2 linked regions of the Drosophila melanogaster genome follow. Changing the gene in region 1 together with any one later gene gives a genetic interaction. Each region holds a gene or a part of one and is shown on either strand. Other genes may lie near its edges.

What was found. A genetic interaction does not mean that the proteins touch.
Region 2: of Rab3-GAP (region 1) and Rab3, changing one enhances a phenotype caused by changing the other (phenotypic enhancement), as found in Drosophila melanogaster (one study listed by BioGRID).

The regions. Positions count from the first base shown.
Region 1 is NT_033779.5:12,056,671-12,065,700, forward strand, and holds Rab3-GAP (Rab3 GTPase activating protein), read right to left. Parts: upstream 6,515-9,030; 5' UTR 6,487-6,514; coding exon 6,411-6,486; intron 6,356-6,410; coding exon 6,046-6,355; intron 5,993-6,045; coding exon 4,199-5,992; intron 4,134-4,198; coding exon 3,917-4,133; intron 3,856-3,916; coding exon 3,728-3,855; intron 3,669-3,727; coding exon 2,543-3,668; intron 2,358-2,542; coding exon 2,160-2,357; intron 2,097-2,159; coding exon 1,920-2,096; 3' UTR 1,634-1,919; downstream 1-1,633. Other genes in the region: RpL7-like (ribosomal protein L7-like), read left to right, coding at 1-477, 545-658; CG34164 (uncharacterized protein), read left to right, coding at 1,223-1,543; firl (firelighter), read right to left, coding at 6,937-7,200, 7,259-7,619, 7,680-7,834, 7,896-8,049, 8,600-8,622.
Region 2 is NT_033778.4:10,725,623-10,732,471, forward strand, and holds the start of Rab3 (Rab3), read right to left. Parts: upstream 3,582-6,849; 5' UTR 2,983-3,581; intron 1,651-2,982; exon of another isoform or gene 1,438-1,650; coding exon of another isoform or gene 1-1,437. Other genes in the region: CAH13 (carbonic anhydrase 13), read left to right, coding at 1-1,437; Daao1 (D-amino acid oxidase 1), read right to left, coding at 4,017-4,566, 4,636-4,781, 4,863-4,986, 5,052-5,239. UniProt on the Drosophila melanogaster protein: Involved in exocytosis by regulating a late step in synaptic vesicle fusion. Could play a role in neurotransmitter release by regulating membrane flow in the nerve terminal.

The DNA of each region.
Region 1 (9,030 bases):
GGCTACCTGAAAGCAGAGCGCACGTCCAAGCGGATCAAGCAAACCATTCTGCGCACCAATGTCACCGAACAAAGTGCCAAAGCTGCCGACGATTCCAATCCCAAACTGCTCTTCGTGATGCGCCATGCGGGCAAGAAGATCTTCGACAAGACCACCGCGGATATATTCCGAACCCTGCGCATGGGCTCGCGCCACAACGCCGTCTTCATGGAGAACACCAAGGAGAACCAGTTGCTGCTGCGCGTTATCGAACCCTTTGTAGTCTACGGCAATCCCTCGCTGAGCTCCATTCGCGAGCTGGTCTTCAAGAAGGGCTTCGCCCGCATCGACGGCAAGAAGACGGCCATCCAGTCGAACACCATGGTGGAGCAACAGCTGGGCGACAAGGGTGTCATCTGTCTGGAGGATATAATCCACGAAATTTGCACAGTGGGTCCAAACTTCGCCGCTGTAAATGAGTTTCTGTGCGCCTTCACGGTTGGTTAACAACTTCTCTTTTGCAATTCTTAAAACTATACTATTACCGCCATTTGGTTTTTTCCAGTTGTCCAGTCCCAGCAATGGTTGGCAAAAGAAGGTATCCGTCTCGTACAAACGCGGTGGCGAGTACGGCGATCGTGGCACTGCCATCAACGAACTGATTGCCCGCTGCCTGTAGAGACCCTAGCCTAGTAAACCCTTAAGTGATTGTTCAACCTCTATAACCCATTCTGTAGCTAAGCCCAATACACATCTATATACAAACGTATTCTATTTGAGCGTACTTATTTAACGAAGAAAATAGATGGTCAGGTCAGCACTATCGTGAGTTTACTGTATGCCTATAAAAGCAATCCTGCGACTATTAAGGAACCACATGAAACTGTCTCTAACGACATTCCTCATTATTCTACATGTTTATCAACATGATAAACTTCACCCACGAAACAAGTTCTTTGCTTCTTGGCCTTGCGTGTCCCAGCCGAGTTCCCAAATTGAACAAACCAGAGAATCAACTTTCTGCCTCGAATAATAAATAAGTCATAACCGAGGTGGCTCCTCGCAAACGAAAGGTATGCCAAACTGAACTACTTGTTGCCATGAAGGAGGAACTGTTGTTTTTCGATTAGTCGGAGTCAGTGCCACTAACCTAGTGCAACTCGGGTCGTCGTATCTTTTGTTCGGATAAAACTCCAGGGACTACACATTGGAATTCAAAATCCTTAGATTCAATTAATTCTCAATGAATTCAAGTTTCAACAGCGAGCAGTTGGACACCGACCGCGATGGACTGCAAAAAATTCTGGCCCGATCTCTCAAGGAACCCATTCTTGGCAAGCACTTTGCCCTGCCTGGCCGCATAGAGCAGAGTCCACCCATCGAACTGGACACCAGCCAGAGCTACATTGCCGTCTACACTCATCTCAAAGTGCACGCCACCATGATGCCGGAGAGATTGCCCACGCCGGAGGCAATCGGACGAATACAGGCGGAGAACTTGGAGGCAGCGCCCAAGGCACGAAGTTCAAAGACCCGCTTGGATCCCTGCTCAAATATAAATTAAATTACGTTGGGCATCAATAAAGAAAGTATTGTTATTTTATCTTTTGGTATCCCTTAAATTTAGTAAAAGAATATTAAAATTTTTTTTTTTATTTTATTAAATATACATGTTCATAATCCTTGTAGGCATAAGCTTCACATCAAATTCGTGTTGAATACATCCTCCTATCGGTGCAGATCTTAGTATCCTTTTTCTTGAAAGTAATTAATATGATGCTTTTCGTAGGTTGTTTAAATCGCTACTAGGTTGATAAGTATAAGACAATTAATGGGACCGCATGTGGTGCTTTAACAATCAATATTGGGTTCATTCTTGAATCCATAAAAATCATGAGAGAAATGTAAAATAACCAAGTGTTTATGTGTCATCCTCACTCCTAATTCTGCAGGATACGCACGGCGTTGTACATCTGGCCAATGATGGGCAGCTGCTTGGACTCGCGCCGGCAAAGGTATTTGTAGGCATGCGACAACAGCCTGTCCAGGGCAGCCACATCGATCTCGTCGGGCTTGGTGGCCGCGATCTGAATGTTGTTCTCCGTCATCGGTTCCTTCTGCGTAAGCGGCGTGAGAAATGGATCAGTACTGCGAATGATATATGCGCTTGCAGCACTTACCAGGTTGTCTAGGTAGGCCAGCAACTGGTGGCCAACAGAGGCAATCTTCAGGAACGTGGACTGCGAGCTCTGTGCGTAAAGATTAAGTCTACGGCCAGCGATCTCCAGCAGCAGTCGGCCCAGCTCCTCGTCATCGCTGATGTCCTGGAGCAACACTTGAGCCTCCGCATCATACCCAAAAGCGTACAGTTCCACCACCTGGAGGAGGGAAAAATATTTGGAATATATTTTCTATTCCATTGTGTTTCCTCTGTTGTGCTCTCTACGGAGCAAACTAACGAACTGATGTTGAAAGGCAAAAGGGATTGTAAGCTCCCTGTCATGTGTGTTCATGGGTTCCTAGATTAGGAATTCTGGGATCATATATGTATGTACATTCTTACCTGCCGTCGTAGGATAGGAAGTTTATCGACCTCCCAACTGTCGGCTAAGGCACAGATCTTGCCCATGTAGAAAACATGATCGAGAATGTACAGCTGCTCCAAATCCTCTCTAATCAGATCCATGGTAGCGGTGACAAGGCGACACAGGAACTCAGTGCGCTGCTGTTGCAGGACAAGATCTGGTGCAGGCAAAACATAAGGCAGTTCCTTATTGATGTCCGCCAGCAGAGCTTTGTTGCTCATGGAGTCAAAAAGCGTGGTCAGTGGTTTTGGAATGCGCAGCTGGAAAAAGGAAACGAAGTGCAGCACGCTGCACAGTTCTGTTTGAAGACGGAGCAGCTGCGGCATGGCATGGTGCTGCTGGAGAGCCAGAAACTGCAATGGCAGGGCTCCTTCGCTGAGCGACTGCTCGAAGTGCAGTTCACGCTTATCGTGCTCCATGGAAGCGGTGAAATGCTGCAGGAATTCGAGGCTGAGTTCTAGAAACTCTGGCACTTTACCCGCAGACATCTCGAGATCTTGCTGGCACATCTTGTCCACTGGCAGGCGTCCCACTTTTTGAATAAGCTTCGCCGCCGCCTGTAGAGGAAACTTCAGGGTGGCATTCCACAGCATGCAACATATTCCATGCTTCAGGGCCCAGTCAGGTGTACGGAATTGGTTTAAACAAAGTAATGCTGCCTTTAGGTGGTCCAGCGATGAGAGCTGCTTGCTCCACTGGACCATGTACTGCCACGACATGAGACTTAAGAGGACGCCCGATTCCAAGCTGAAGGGAAAATGCGCACGCAGCAGAGCCAATCTTTCAAGAATAGGTTCATGGGCTTCTTTACTCGCCGCGTACACTTCCTTTGCCATTTCCAAATCCTCTTCTGATTCCGCGTCTTCATCGACTGACTCCTTGGTAGGCTCATCCTTTATCTTAACTTTGCTCTCGTCGTCTAACTCGTTTTCGGGAGGCGATATCTCCAAAACTTTACTCGGATGCAATTGTGCACTGATCAGCCACTTGGCTGTCAGTTCGGTGACGATGCCTTTGCCACTGCTCACAATGCTTTTGAGACTGCAGTCCGGTGGCTCGTAGGACATCTCTGGACCAACAGGATCCCGGCAGATGAGAGGCTTACTGCGAAGGAAGCAGTGGTTCATAAAGGAGCTAAGTGGAACGATTGATTTGGCACTTACCTTAGTATGGCTCCTAGCACGGCCACATCCTCTAGCTTGCCAGTGAGCAATCCCCACTGAGCCTCATCGTGGGAGATACGCTCCCAGCGCTCATCATCTTCGTTCTGCGAGGATTCATCACAAGATCCCTAAGGAAAAAGTGTTTTTCGCAAAAGAGTTTTTGATTTTAATGACTAGGAGTAGACCTACCTCTTTTCTGTTTCGCCACAAATTAGTCGCTACCGTTTTGCATACAATGGCCACCAGCAAGCCCGAAAATTGTTTACTCTCCAAGAGAAGTTCCCGAACTTCCTGCCACCACGGTGAAATGGCATTGTAGGCATAGTCATGGATGTGTTCACCAGCCAGATCACAAATGGTCTGCACCATAGCAGCAATTCTGGACATGTCCTCCACTACTTCATCACTAAAGTAAGAAAAGTAGATTGCACATAAATTGAGAACGGAATTTATAAAATATGTTTTTCTCACCAGTTGTTGTACTTAAAGGGCTTCTCAAGCCAAAACCAAATAATCAATTTAAGCAAATCTCTGCTGGGCAAACACGCCTGATTGATCCACTGCTTGAATTGGCCAAAGCATAGACCTTGGGCAAAGAACTGACTAAAGAGATCGATGCTTACGGCGCCAAACTTATCTGACTTCTCCGGAAGTAGACTTATCCCATCCGGACTATCGATGTTAAAGATGCTCAGGTAATCGACAAATTCTTCGGTCTTGTGCTCCGCCTGCAACTTGAAGCTCACTTCACGAGTGGCGGCGGGTTTATCCTTCTCGGTGCCATCGTCCAGGAGCAGAACCAACTTGTTAATGGTGACAAGATCAGCATCGGAAAGCTCCAAGTATTCTACGGGTGGCTCGTTGTCTTCACGCTGATTGGCTTGACTTAGGGCCAAGTAGAGATCAGTCAAGCGTTTATAGTTCTCGATTTGGTTGACAAACTCCTCGGAGCCCGTTGATTCAGAAAGAGGTTTCTTTATGAAGGCATTAATGATGGATTGAAACACCTGTGGCTGCAGCTTCTTGCTCTTAAGCAACATCTCCAGACACTGTTGTCGCACCTCTAACGTCTGCAGTTCACTTGCCAGTTCGCCAATCTCCTGCAGCGCTTCATCTTTGGCTTGGCCATGGTTTATGGTTCTGAGCTGGTTTCTGAGGCGCCTCAGCATATGGATATCCCGTGATGTCTGGGAGCTGGTCTCGCTGAGCGCGTAGTGAAAAGGAATGTGTATCTCCTTCAGGCTGCCATCGCTGGGGTCCAGGAACAAGCAATGATTGATGGCTAAAGATTTTCTTGACTGACTACTGCTATTACCAGATCCACTGCTGCCGCCTGAGCCTAGGGGACTATGATTGTTGTACATAAGTTGCCCGCTCTTCGAAACATTGAATGCAGCCACCTTGGGTCCGTTTTGCAAAGCCCATATGTCCAGGCAGCCCATTCGAGGAGCGTAGATCACCAGGAACAAAGCCTTTCGCTTGTGCGTTTTGATACCGCGAACGGATTTTTCTTTAACTGGCACGAATGCGCACTGTGCATCTCGATAGCCCTTCCAAACACGCAAGATAATAGCCTGGTGCGTATCCACCAACATTACACGGTCGAGATTATCGGTAACGACAGCCAGGCGTCCACCAGGTGCCACAGACAAGGTCAGTCCATCTCTCTTGCCGTCATATAGACGACAGCGAATCCGCATCGGTGCTTCTTTCGTGGGCACCGGCAGTGGTGATTCCTCGGGCGATGGCAGGGGCTCTGGAGCGCGTCGAAAGATTCCGCCCAGCAGGTTCTTGTAAGCTATTCCGATTACGTCTTTGGCAACCTCACCCAGCGACATCGTTTTATAACCCTCCTCCGCCTGAAAGAAGCCCAAATAGGGTTCTGCTCCGGCGGCCAGAACCTGTGAGCTCCTCGGCGGCGTGGCGTGCACCTTGGCGAAATAACCGAGACCGATGGTCTGCTGAACAATGTAGTCGTATGTGGGAGGTCGCTGGGTGGTAGAGATGGCAGCATCATTAATGACGGCCTCTCGTTCTTGCTTGAACTTATACTTCTGGAATGGCACCACATCAGCAGTGGGATACGAACTACGCTCCAATGCACCTCTTTGCACATTGTGCCGGCAATTGTTCAGCGTGGGCAAAATGTCCTGGCCCTGGATGAAGCACAGGCAGCGAGGATAGATGATGTAGAGCAGTGAATCTGCCTCAGAATGTCGCGGAGCGGACTGCAGCTTGACTCCAATTACTGGATCCTCTTGGCAACTTGAAAAATATAGATGGTTAATGCCGTAGATACATTTAATTCCACAACTAACCATTGCGAGAAGAGTTTTACACCCGAGTCCGTGTAGAAGGTAACCATGCCAGAGCACAGGCCAACTGCCACGCAGGTCCATTCGATGGCTCCATCGGTGCTTTTGTTCTGAGTCATCGGCAAGCAGGTGAGGCTAGTCACGATTTGGTTGGGATCCTCCAGCTCGCCGCACCAGCCAAGAACGTAGGTGTTGCCATTGCCATGGCTGCTCCAGCAGGTGCTGAGGAATGCCAACTTTTCACCCTGCGCCATGGCAATCAGTTCCCCAGTTGGTGAAATGGCATGGTTTATCGCGTTTAACCAGTTGTCATCTGCACGGATCGGTTTAGCTATGAATACTTGCTGCAGAGACTTGTCTTATCTTACCATGTCCGAGTCCAAAGTATTCTTGGACTTTCTTAAAATCACGGATTTCTCCGCAGTGTTTTACTTCGCAAGCCATCGCCTTTTGTTTTCATCACACAGCTGATTTGCAGTGGAGTTGACAGTGCAGGTAAATTTAGCTATAGCCAGATGTATCGATTATCGATTATGTATCGATTTCAATGCAACAGGTAACTCCAATAATAACGAACTAATGAAATTCATTAAAGTAATTTTCTTTGTTGTACGTAATTTTAAAACATTATAAACTGAGAGGATGTTATTCATCTAATCTGCCCAAACTAATAAATACTTGGCTTATATGCATAGATGTTAAATTATAAGTTAGAATACAAAATAAATCAAATAATTTTTTGATAATGATCAAAATGGTAAACTGTGCACTTACTTTGTACCAAGCTGAAAATCTCTATAGCTTTATTTTAATGCATACTCCAATAGTAAGTTTATTGTACTGCAACATATTGTAGTTCGATCTAAGATCTAATATATGAATATAGAAGGTAAACTAAATCAAATCCGACTCCACACCGCTGTCGATAAAGTCCTTAAGCATCAGGCCGCAATGATCGGGCAGGAGTCGCGTCCAGTTGTTGATGTAGAGGAGGCAGCTCGGGATGGTTACCTCCATGAGGTCGGTGCGATGAGCCTCCACGATCCTTTTGGCCACCTGCTTGGGATCGAGCAGGCCCAGGATCGATGGGAACTTCACCTTGGGATGCTTGCAGAGGCCAGTGTTGGTCATATAGGGAAAGATGGTGGTGGTTCGAATCTGTAAATGGATTCACACATGGATCACATAATCTAGCACATTCACATGGTTATTCTACCAGATCCCTGAAAGGTCCCTGTCGTAATTCGGCATGCAGTGCCTCCATCAGACCGCGTACAGCGAATTTGGTGGCACAATAGGGCACCAGGTTGGAGATGCCCACCAAGCCGGCAATGGAGGACATGCAAATGATGTGGCCACGACACTTCTCCTGCATGTGCGGCAAGAAGGCCTGGATGGTCCAGAACTGCGAGAACACGTTCACGTCGAAGACCCGCTGGATTTCCTCGGCCGATTGCTGCAGAATGGGATGCGTTGGCATTATGCCCACATTATTAACCAGCACCGATATGCATCCAACATCCGACTTGATCCGATCCGCCAGTGCCGTAACCTCATCGCGCTTGGAAACATCGCAGCTGCCAATGTTGAACATAATGTTATTATTTATTTAAACATTTAGTAAGTATACTTAATACCTGTAGCTGTAAACCTCGCCGAGATTGAGCCGTTTGGCCTTCTCCACCGTCTGCAGATTATTTTTGCCATCGATATCCACACAAACCACTGTGCTACCCAATGAAGCATAGTGTAGGGCCAACTCCCGACCAATTCCATGCCCAGTTCCGGTTATCTGCGCAAATACAAGTTGGTATTAACTTATTATGTTATTTTTGCACATGTAATGCTCTTACCAAAACTATCTCCCCGCTGACATCCTTCTGCTTTTTGGGCAGCACAATCTGCACCAGCGACACAAACAGCTCCAACAGAATTCGCACATAGAGCTCGAAAAATTGCAGGACATCCTTGAGGACGTCGAAGATGCGCTTCGAGGCAGGTGTTGTGCTGCAATATAGAACATACATATATAGTGCACCGATCGTAGCGAAATTCGCAACAGCTAGAAGCGTTTGCTGGCCACTCCGAGTTGGCAAATATTGAAACAAAGTCGAGTCTCGACAAACCCCCAAATGATTTAATTTATCTATTTGTATGCGCCCGCTGCATGTGCAATGTTCAAGCGCTCGGCTCGGACTTTGCCAAGACCCCATAATATAGTACAACATAAGATATTGGAGAATGCTGGTGGGGCTCAAGGCGCCTCGAAATATTGACACTGGGTCTTGGCCCCCTTTTTCGGGTACTCCCGTTGTTGGCCAAGGGAATCATAGTCAAGGCTGCCTGGGTTGGAAAAAGCATTTACATATATTGATAGATTTAACCAGAGCTACTAAACAAATGAAATAGTAAATATTATAAATTATAACATATTTAGAGCTGTAAATAAATATTAATTTCAACATATCAACTATATTGCTTAAACTGCACCAACTGATTGTGACATTTCATCCGTGCCATATGTGTGGACAAACCACCGATAAGGATTAACACTTACTGGATAATTTCCCGTTCTATCATGGTGAGGGTTTCTTATCGGGTATATGGGTTGGGTTCCCTGGCTTCCCAAATCCGGTGCCCTTTGACAGCTCAATCGGGCAGAACCAAGTGCGGTGCAATGGCTATAATGAAAGATAATGGTCTTGAGTCACGGATCGTTTGACTGACTGACTGGACTGGACTGAGTTTGGACGGTCTCTTCCGCATTTGCGGATTTCCTTTTCACAATTTTTGGCTTTTGAGTTTGGCGAGGAGGAGTTGTTGTTGTTGGTTTTTTTTATTTAAGTTTCTTCCTCGGATTTACAACCGGCTGGCCAAGAGCGAGCGGCGTGGGCGAGCGAGGAGGTGCTGGAGCCACCGGCGACAGTGCAACATTTCCACTTTCGTTTTCGATTTGCCTGCCACTAAATGGAAAATTACGTGCACTCC
Region 2 (6,849 bases), on another chromosome or scaffold:
CAGGAAACACTCAAGGAGATATATCAGCGTGTACTCCTTTTGATTAGGACTCCACTTCAATTTGGGAACACATCTTGCTCAAGAAATTCTGCTCCAGTATACGGTTACGACATGCAACATGGTCCGCATACTTGGTTGCCGAAGTCCAGGTCATCTTCCAGTTCTGTGGAGGAAGCGACTTTCTTCCAGAGCCCAGTCAACATCGATGAATCTCAAATTCAACGCATGGCCATAAGAGAGCTGCTGAGCTGGAACCACTATGATGATCTGCCCGCCAGCATCACTCTGGAGAATACGGGTCAGACACTTATCCTCCGTGCCCAGTTCCACGGTAATGCACCTACTATCAGTGGAGCTGATCTCCTGGCCAGCTATACGTTTCTGGAACTGCGCTTCCACTGGGGCTGGTGCAACAGCGAGGGATCCGAGCATACGATCAACCACCGAAAGTTCCCACTTGAGATGCAGGTGATGCACAAAACGGGATCGGGTATTCCCCGTACTTGCACCAGCAGCTATGATCTCCTGATGATCGGATACGTCTTTGAGCTATCCGCGCACAATCCGTTCCTGGATCCCCTGGTGCAGAATTTGCGATTGGTTCAGAAGCCTGGAAAGCGTGTCCAGATTTCTCCATTTCCCATATCCTACTTGATGTATCAATTTCGATCTGGATTCTATTCCTACGGCGGTTCGCTGACCCATCCGCCCTGTTACCAGGGCACCGAATGGTTCATCTTTCCCGAATCCCTAGCCATTAGCGACTTTCAGCTGCGTCACTTTCGTTTGCTCCTAGGTCCGGATGGGATCTCGCCCATAGCCCGTAACAGCCGACCAGTCCAGCACATGGGCAATCGAGTTGTAAGCCTAAACTGCTTCTGCCCATACGATGCCGCCCAGTTGTCCAGAATGCATGTGGAGCTATGCCAGGCTCAAGCTCAGGAGGAGCACGAAGAGGAACGTATCGAGCAGGAGCAGCAATTGGAACTAGAGCGCGAACTGGAGCGGCAAAGGGAAAGCGACTTGAAAGCTCAGCAGGAGCAAGCAAGCGAGGCGGCCATCGCTGCTTCCGAGGATGAAGGTCAGCTAATTGAGACCATAGATACCACGACCATAATAACTAGTAGCAGCAACACTAGCATATGCATGACTACGCTGATGCGGAAGGATTCGCCTAGGCAACTGGAACAGCCATCTCAGATGCCTATGATGGCTCCCAATCAGGGTAACTTTTGCAATCCTGGCATTGTGATATTCAGCGGTGTCAATGAATCCAAGTCCAAGTGCGGCATCCATCAGGATACACCGGAGGAGCTAATGATCCATAACAGAGGAACGGGAAGAAACATGGGTGTACAGAATGGCTGCAAGGCCGATGCCTTTTGCGGCGTGGGCGATGGCGTCAACATCGGAATTCGCATGGAGCTGGTCGAGTAGCTAATGTGCTATTATCAACCTTTATGTCATCCATAGACACTCCATTTGTGGTCCATGCTGCACGAAGAACCGGTGGGGCTAGATGGTGCACATGAAACACCGGTCAAGGCCAACTGGTGGCCAACCGGAGTTCTCTCTGTGCCCGGAAGTGATTGAATCGCGTGCGTGTGGATTAAACAAGTTGCGTTTATATTTTCTAAAGCATAACCCCCCAATTCCCTTGACTTTTAATCCTTGGAGTAGGCGGGAGGGGTTGGCTTTAGCGGCCTGACTTGGGAAAGGACCCACTTGATTATCCCTGTCACGTCACTGGGAAAACTCAAAGCGAATTTCAGAGCTGAACGGCGGGTTGGTGGGCTGGTGGGCTGGTGCGGCCTTGAAAACTTTCAGCCTTGGCTTGGGCAAGTGACAACAGTCTCGGCTTACAGTTTGCCATTCGGGATGGTTGGCTGCCTGTTTTCCATATGCAATGAAGGCGGCGACATTGTGTCGATAATTTGTGTATATAGCCTGGTTCTCCTGGTTCCGTTTCCGCTCATCCTTATTTCCCCCGTCCAGAATCAGAAGTTGCGCAGCGGCAAAACGCTGTCAGATTGCTGATGAACGACTTGGTGTAGAAGGACCGAGTGCGCGCGTCATCGTCAAGGATTTTGCTGGCAAAAGGACAGGCTTCGCTCCTGTCAAGCCTCTTCAGGCCCAGAAATATCCTGGAGGGGCCCGAACCCAAACCCAAACCCAAACCCAAACGCAGACACCAAAGAGGGGCCGCAATAAGAGGTCTTCAACGGCAGACGGCCCTTATCACAGGCGCTGTGTGGAAATGTTTTTATCTGCTCGACTGCGTGTAATTATCGATTTTTCTGTTGTTTTCCCCCTGCGTGGGGGTGGCTGCCAGACCCTGCCCCCATTACCCACCCCCTTAACTGCTCTTTCATGTTTCAAATTTCCAATGATTTGGCAGCTGTTCAGCGGTCGGCAGCTGCGGGCTTGTTTAATTATTGATAAGAAACCCAATATTGGCCAAAACGAGAACTCAATCCTGCCTTAACGGTTCCAATTGGAAAAGTTTCAATTTAAGGTTTGTTGTCAAACGTAAATATTAGGCATGTGCATAAATACCGAGTTATCAATCAATGGGAATAAACAATTAACTCTTTCCTGGAAGTTGTAAAACTACATATGTATTATTTGGCCACATTCATATGTATGTATAGCCCATATCTATTGTCAATAAGATATGATACACTAAGCTGAAATCCATCAGAAGTTTTTTTGGAACTACTATAAAAGTAACATTGAGTTATTAAATACCTTTTAAATACTTTTAAAAAGTTGATGTGTAATCTTTATAATGTCAAAATCAATGAAGTTTAATGTAAAAATAATAAATTCCAACCAACGGCCTCATTATTTGACAATATGGAACTGATACTGCAAAGTTTTTGATGCGAAAACTCAGGTATTTTGGTTTTAGCTGGAACTAGTACCCCCATTCACCCATTTTGGTCCATCATGGCGGATACTTAATGTGTCAGATAAACTTACTCTTTCTTGAGGTTATTGCGGTTACAGTAGTATCTGCTGCTAATATCTCAGTTGCTGTTTATGATGGTGCTGCTGCAGATCCTGCTGTCACAAGAATATCCTGCTGTTTTCGATGTGTGGGTGAGAGGTACGCCGTGTTGTTGCTCGCACATACACACAAATCGATAATGGCAGCTCCTTTCGCTGAAGGGATAAGGAAAAGGACTCGACTCAGCCTTGGCACTGGACTGACATACGCCGCGATTTCACGTCGATTGATTCGTCGAGTTGTTTACGGTTACCCAATCAACTATTCACACGCCCGCGGACCCACTCGTCTGGCCAGAATTGAACTGACTCCGGCTGCAGTGGCTCAATTATTCAGCAAATGCAACGCACCAACTGTTCTACCTTTTTGCCTCGACACGTCGACACCAAAGGACACACAATTTTCAATTTTTTCTTCGCTCTCAGGCGGCGAATTGACTGGTGCGGCGAAAACGGGCCAGTTTTGTATACGTTTTCATAATTCAACTGTTTCAACCTGGCTGACTGGCTGGCTAACTGACTGACTGGATGACTGGCTGCTGCCCACACAATTTCCCTGCTGCTTTTCCTGCTGCTGAAAATCGATGGGTTTCCGTGCCTGGGGTGTCTGTGTGTGGGCGTAGCTTTCGCGGCGATTTCGGGCGAGCTTTCCATTCATGCGCCGGTCATGCGCACTTCGCACTTCCGCAGCCTTGTGGAGCACTGGCCCAGGGGTTCATTTGAATTTATTCGTGGGCGCGAATTTATTCGTTCACTTTGTGAACCCATGTTCTTATCCTGAAACAATATAGACCAAGGAACTCATAAAAACAGTAAATAAAATTTATAAGAATTGTTTCTTTAAATATTCTAAATATTCCTTCTTGAAACCTTTGGAACTGGCGCATATCGCAACCTTGAGAACTGCAATTAGTTTATTGCACAATAAAAAATCCAAATCAAATCTGGGTTCAAAGATTCTGAGTATAAAGAGTTTAATGACCAACAATTAACAACGATTTTACCACCTACAGTTTACTGTTTCCCGCTAGTAGATCGCGTACCAATCGAACTGCGTACATAGCCGTTCCAGGAGCCGTGGTCACACCGTAGCCGCCGTGGCCGTAGTTGTGGACTACCTTCAGCCGCCTGCCTTCCGGATTCGTGATCAGTTCTGGCTCCACCCGAACGACGGAGCGGTGTGGCCGCAGACCAACACATTCCCGCACGATCTCCGCTTTCCGGAGACTGGGCAGCAAATCGTAGCAACGCTCTCGAATGGCCATGCTATCGTATTTGCACCACTCGGTGTTGTAGCTGTCGAATTGGCGACATCCTCCCAGGGTCACAGTCTCAAATCCGGGAAGAACGTAGGTGTCGTAATCGCCGTAGAAAGCCGTCTTTACCCAGGGAGCACGCACTTTGAGCACTTGACCCCGAATGGGAACCAAGTGCTGGTCCCCACACAACTCCTTGGCTCCCATTCCGGTGCAGTTAAGGAGCAAGTCAATGTTCTGCGGCACTTCGAAAAAGCTGTTCACATGCTGACGGACAACCTCTCCTCCGTTCTCCAGGAATCTACAATATGTTAATATTTACGATTATTTTCAAATTGTTTCTCTTTCATATCATAAAACAGCTACTCACTTTTTAGTGGCATAGGGCAAGAAGAGGCGGCTTTCCGTTAGGCATGTGGTGAAGAAGGATCCGTACTTCCAGCCGCCGTTGCATAGCCTCAGTTCCTCCTCGGTGGCTCTTCGGTAGACGGGCAATAGTTTCTCAATAAAGTGGTTCTAAGGCAGCCAACAACAAAGTTAATCGAATTAAGCCGATGAAGATAAGAATCACTGATTGTCGACTGCCCGGCAACGTACCCGTACGATGGAGGGGGAGGTGCGGGAGTAAATATAGCCGGATAATTGGCACACGCCCGCCAGAGGAGCCTCCTTGGAGCGACGCAGCTCATCCCAGTAGTTGAAGGCATCGGTCATCCATTGTCTACGATGAAAAGAAAAGTCGTTAGATGCACAACAGGTGTGTTTGAATCCCAAACAGATTCTCACTGCGTAATTTTCTGGGTGGGGCCCATAAAGCTGGTTCCAGGTCGGAAAATTCCAGCCGCCACATAGCTGACGGTGTCCTCGTTAAACCGATCCGCAATCACGGAAACCCTTGCTGTGGGAAACTCCTTCTGGAGTTCTAAGGCGGTCGTAAGACCAATGATACCGCTTCCCAAGACTCCGAAATGCATTCTGGATCCGCTTTGAGTTGATACCCAATCCCAATGGAAGGCGATTTGGTACTGAGCATGCTTTTAAAGGTGCTTGCGAAGCTGGCTGCGTCTTATCAGCTCTTATCAAATCCGCTCTCCATCGCGCCTCCAAAGATGAGATAAACTTTACTGCTCTCTTTTAAAATTGCAATAAACACTTTTTCCGTTGTTTTTATTATGGTTGCAAACAGTGCTGCACGCTTACAGTAGACTTTAATTAAGTATAACGAAATATTAATGTAACAGTGAGTATTCAATACGAGATACAGCTTTTAAAATAGATATAGAATTAAATGTAGCCAAATTTAAATAAAAAAAGCATCTTTGCTTAAAAAACTGGCAAAATACATATATTTCATAGCTTAAAAATAAGCTAATTGTTTGTCCTATTCTTTCTTACGGGTATCTACTGTACATCGAAAATACTGTGTTGAATCAGCTGTTTGTACTAAACACATCTAAAAAAAACACATCCATTCTAGGGACCACAACAACTTTTCTAAACTGTCGTCAGTATAACTTGTCAACCCAAATTGGATTGACAAATTTTTAAAACAATTATTGTACTCCGCTGAAATTAAACTATTTACCGGCGTTCAAAGCGGAAAACTCAAAAATACCTACACGCGGAACAGCTGAGTGCGGTATTTTTTAGTTTCGCTCACAATTTGTACGTGCGATGCACGAATCGTTTTCAACACTGCCCGGAGGGTCACACTATCCACTCAGATATTTATTTTTCTAATAACATTTACTTAAAAGCAGACTTTACGCAGAGCTTTGGCCACGGAGGAAACGGAACAGATAGCCAGCGAGCGGAGCAGCCAGGACTTGGAGCAGGAATCGGCAGGAACACCAGGACGGATTTCCCCAAGACAAGCAGTAGTAGTATGTCTTCGAAGTCGCCAAGCGAGGTGAGTTCCCTTTGAAGTCTTGGGATAATTTCGATATCCGAGGCGTATTCAATATAGTAGAGGGTTTTAACCGCAGCTGGGCAAATGTTAACGATCCGGAAAGGTTTCCCTTCCGCAATCGCGTGTCGGACTGCCATCCCACGAGTAGAAGGTTCAACGTCATCTTATCGTTCTAGAGATTCATAGCTGAGGAGTGACACAGCGCTCTGCAATGATAAGCTTGTCCAGCTTCTTGCTCGATCTACCAGTCCGTCTATCGTTATATAACTTATTGGTTTCTGCAGGCCGAGGTCGTCTGACCCCGGTCGCTAATTGCTGCTAACCCCGCCATAATCGGGCCGCTGTTTGTGCCCACCCACAGGCCACAGACACGGCCCAATGTCATCTGCCTCCCAATGGCCAAATGTTTACATGGCATTCATTGCACTTTCCCTTCGCCTGAATGCTTGTTTATGCCACATAAACAATGCATTTGCATTTTGGCAAAAAACCTTCGATCCTTGCCAGCTCGATGCTCTTTAGGGAGCTGTTAACCTGGCATGGGGAGTTTACTATAGCTCGCTTGAATTTCATTACTTTAAGGGTTTGCCATATGACCATAAAGTTTATAAAACCTGTGTATGTATCAAGTCTTGGCATTGTATCTTTGCTCCTTGGCAATACGTCTTATATTTA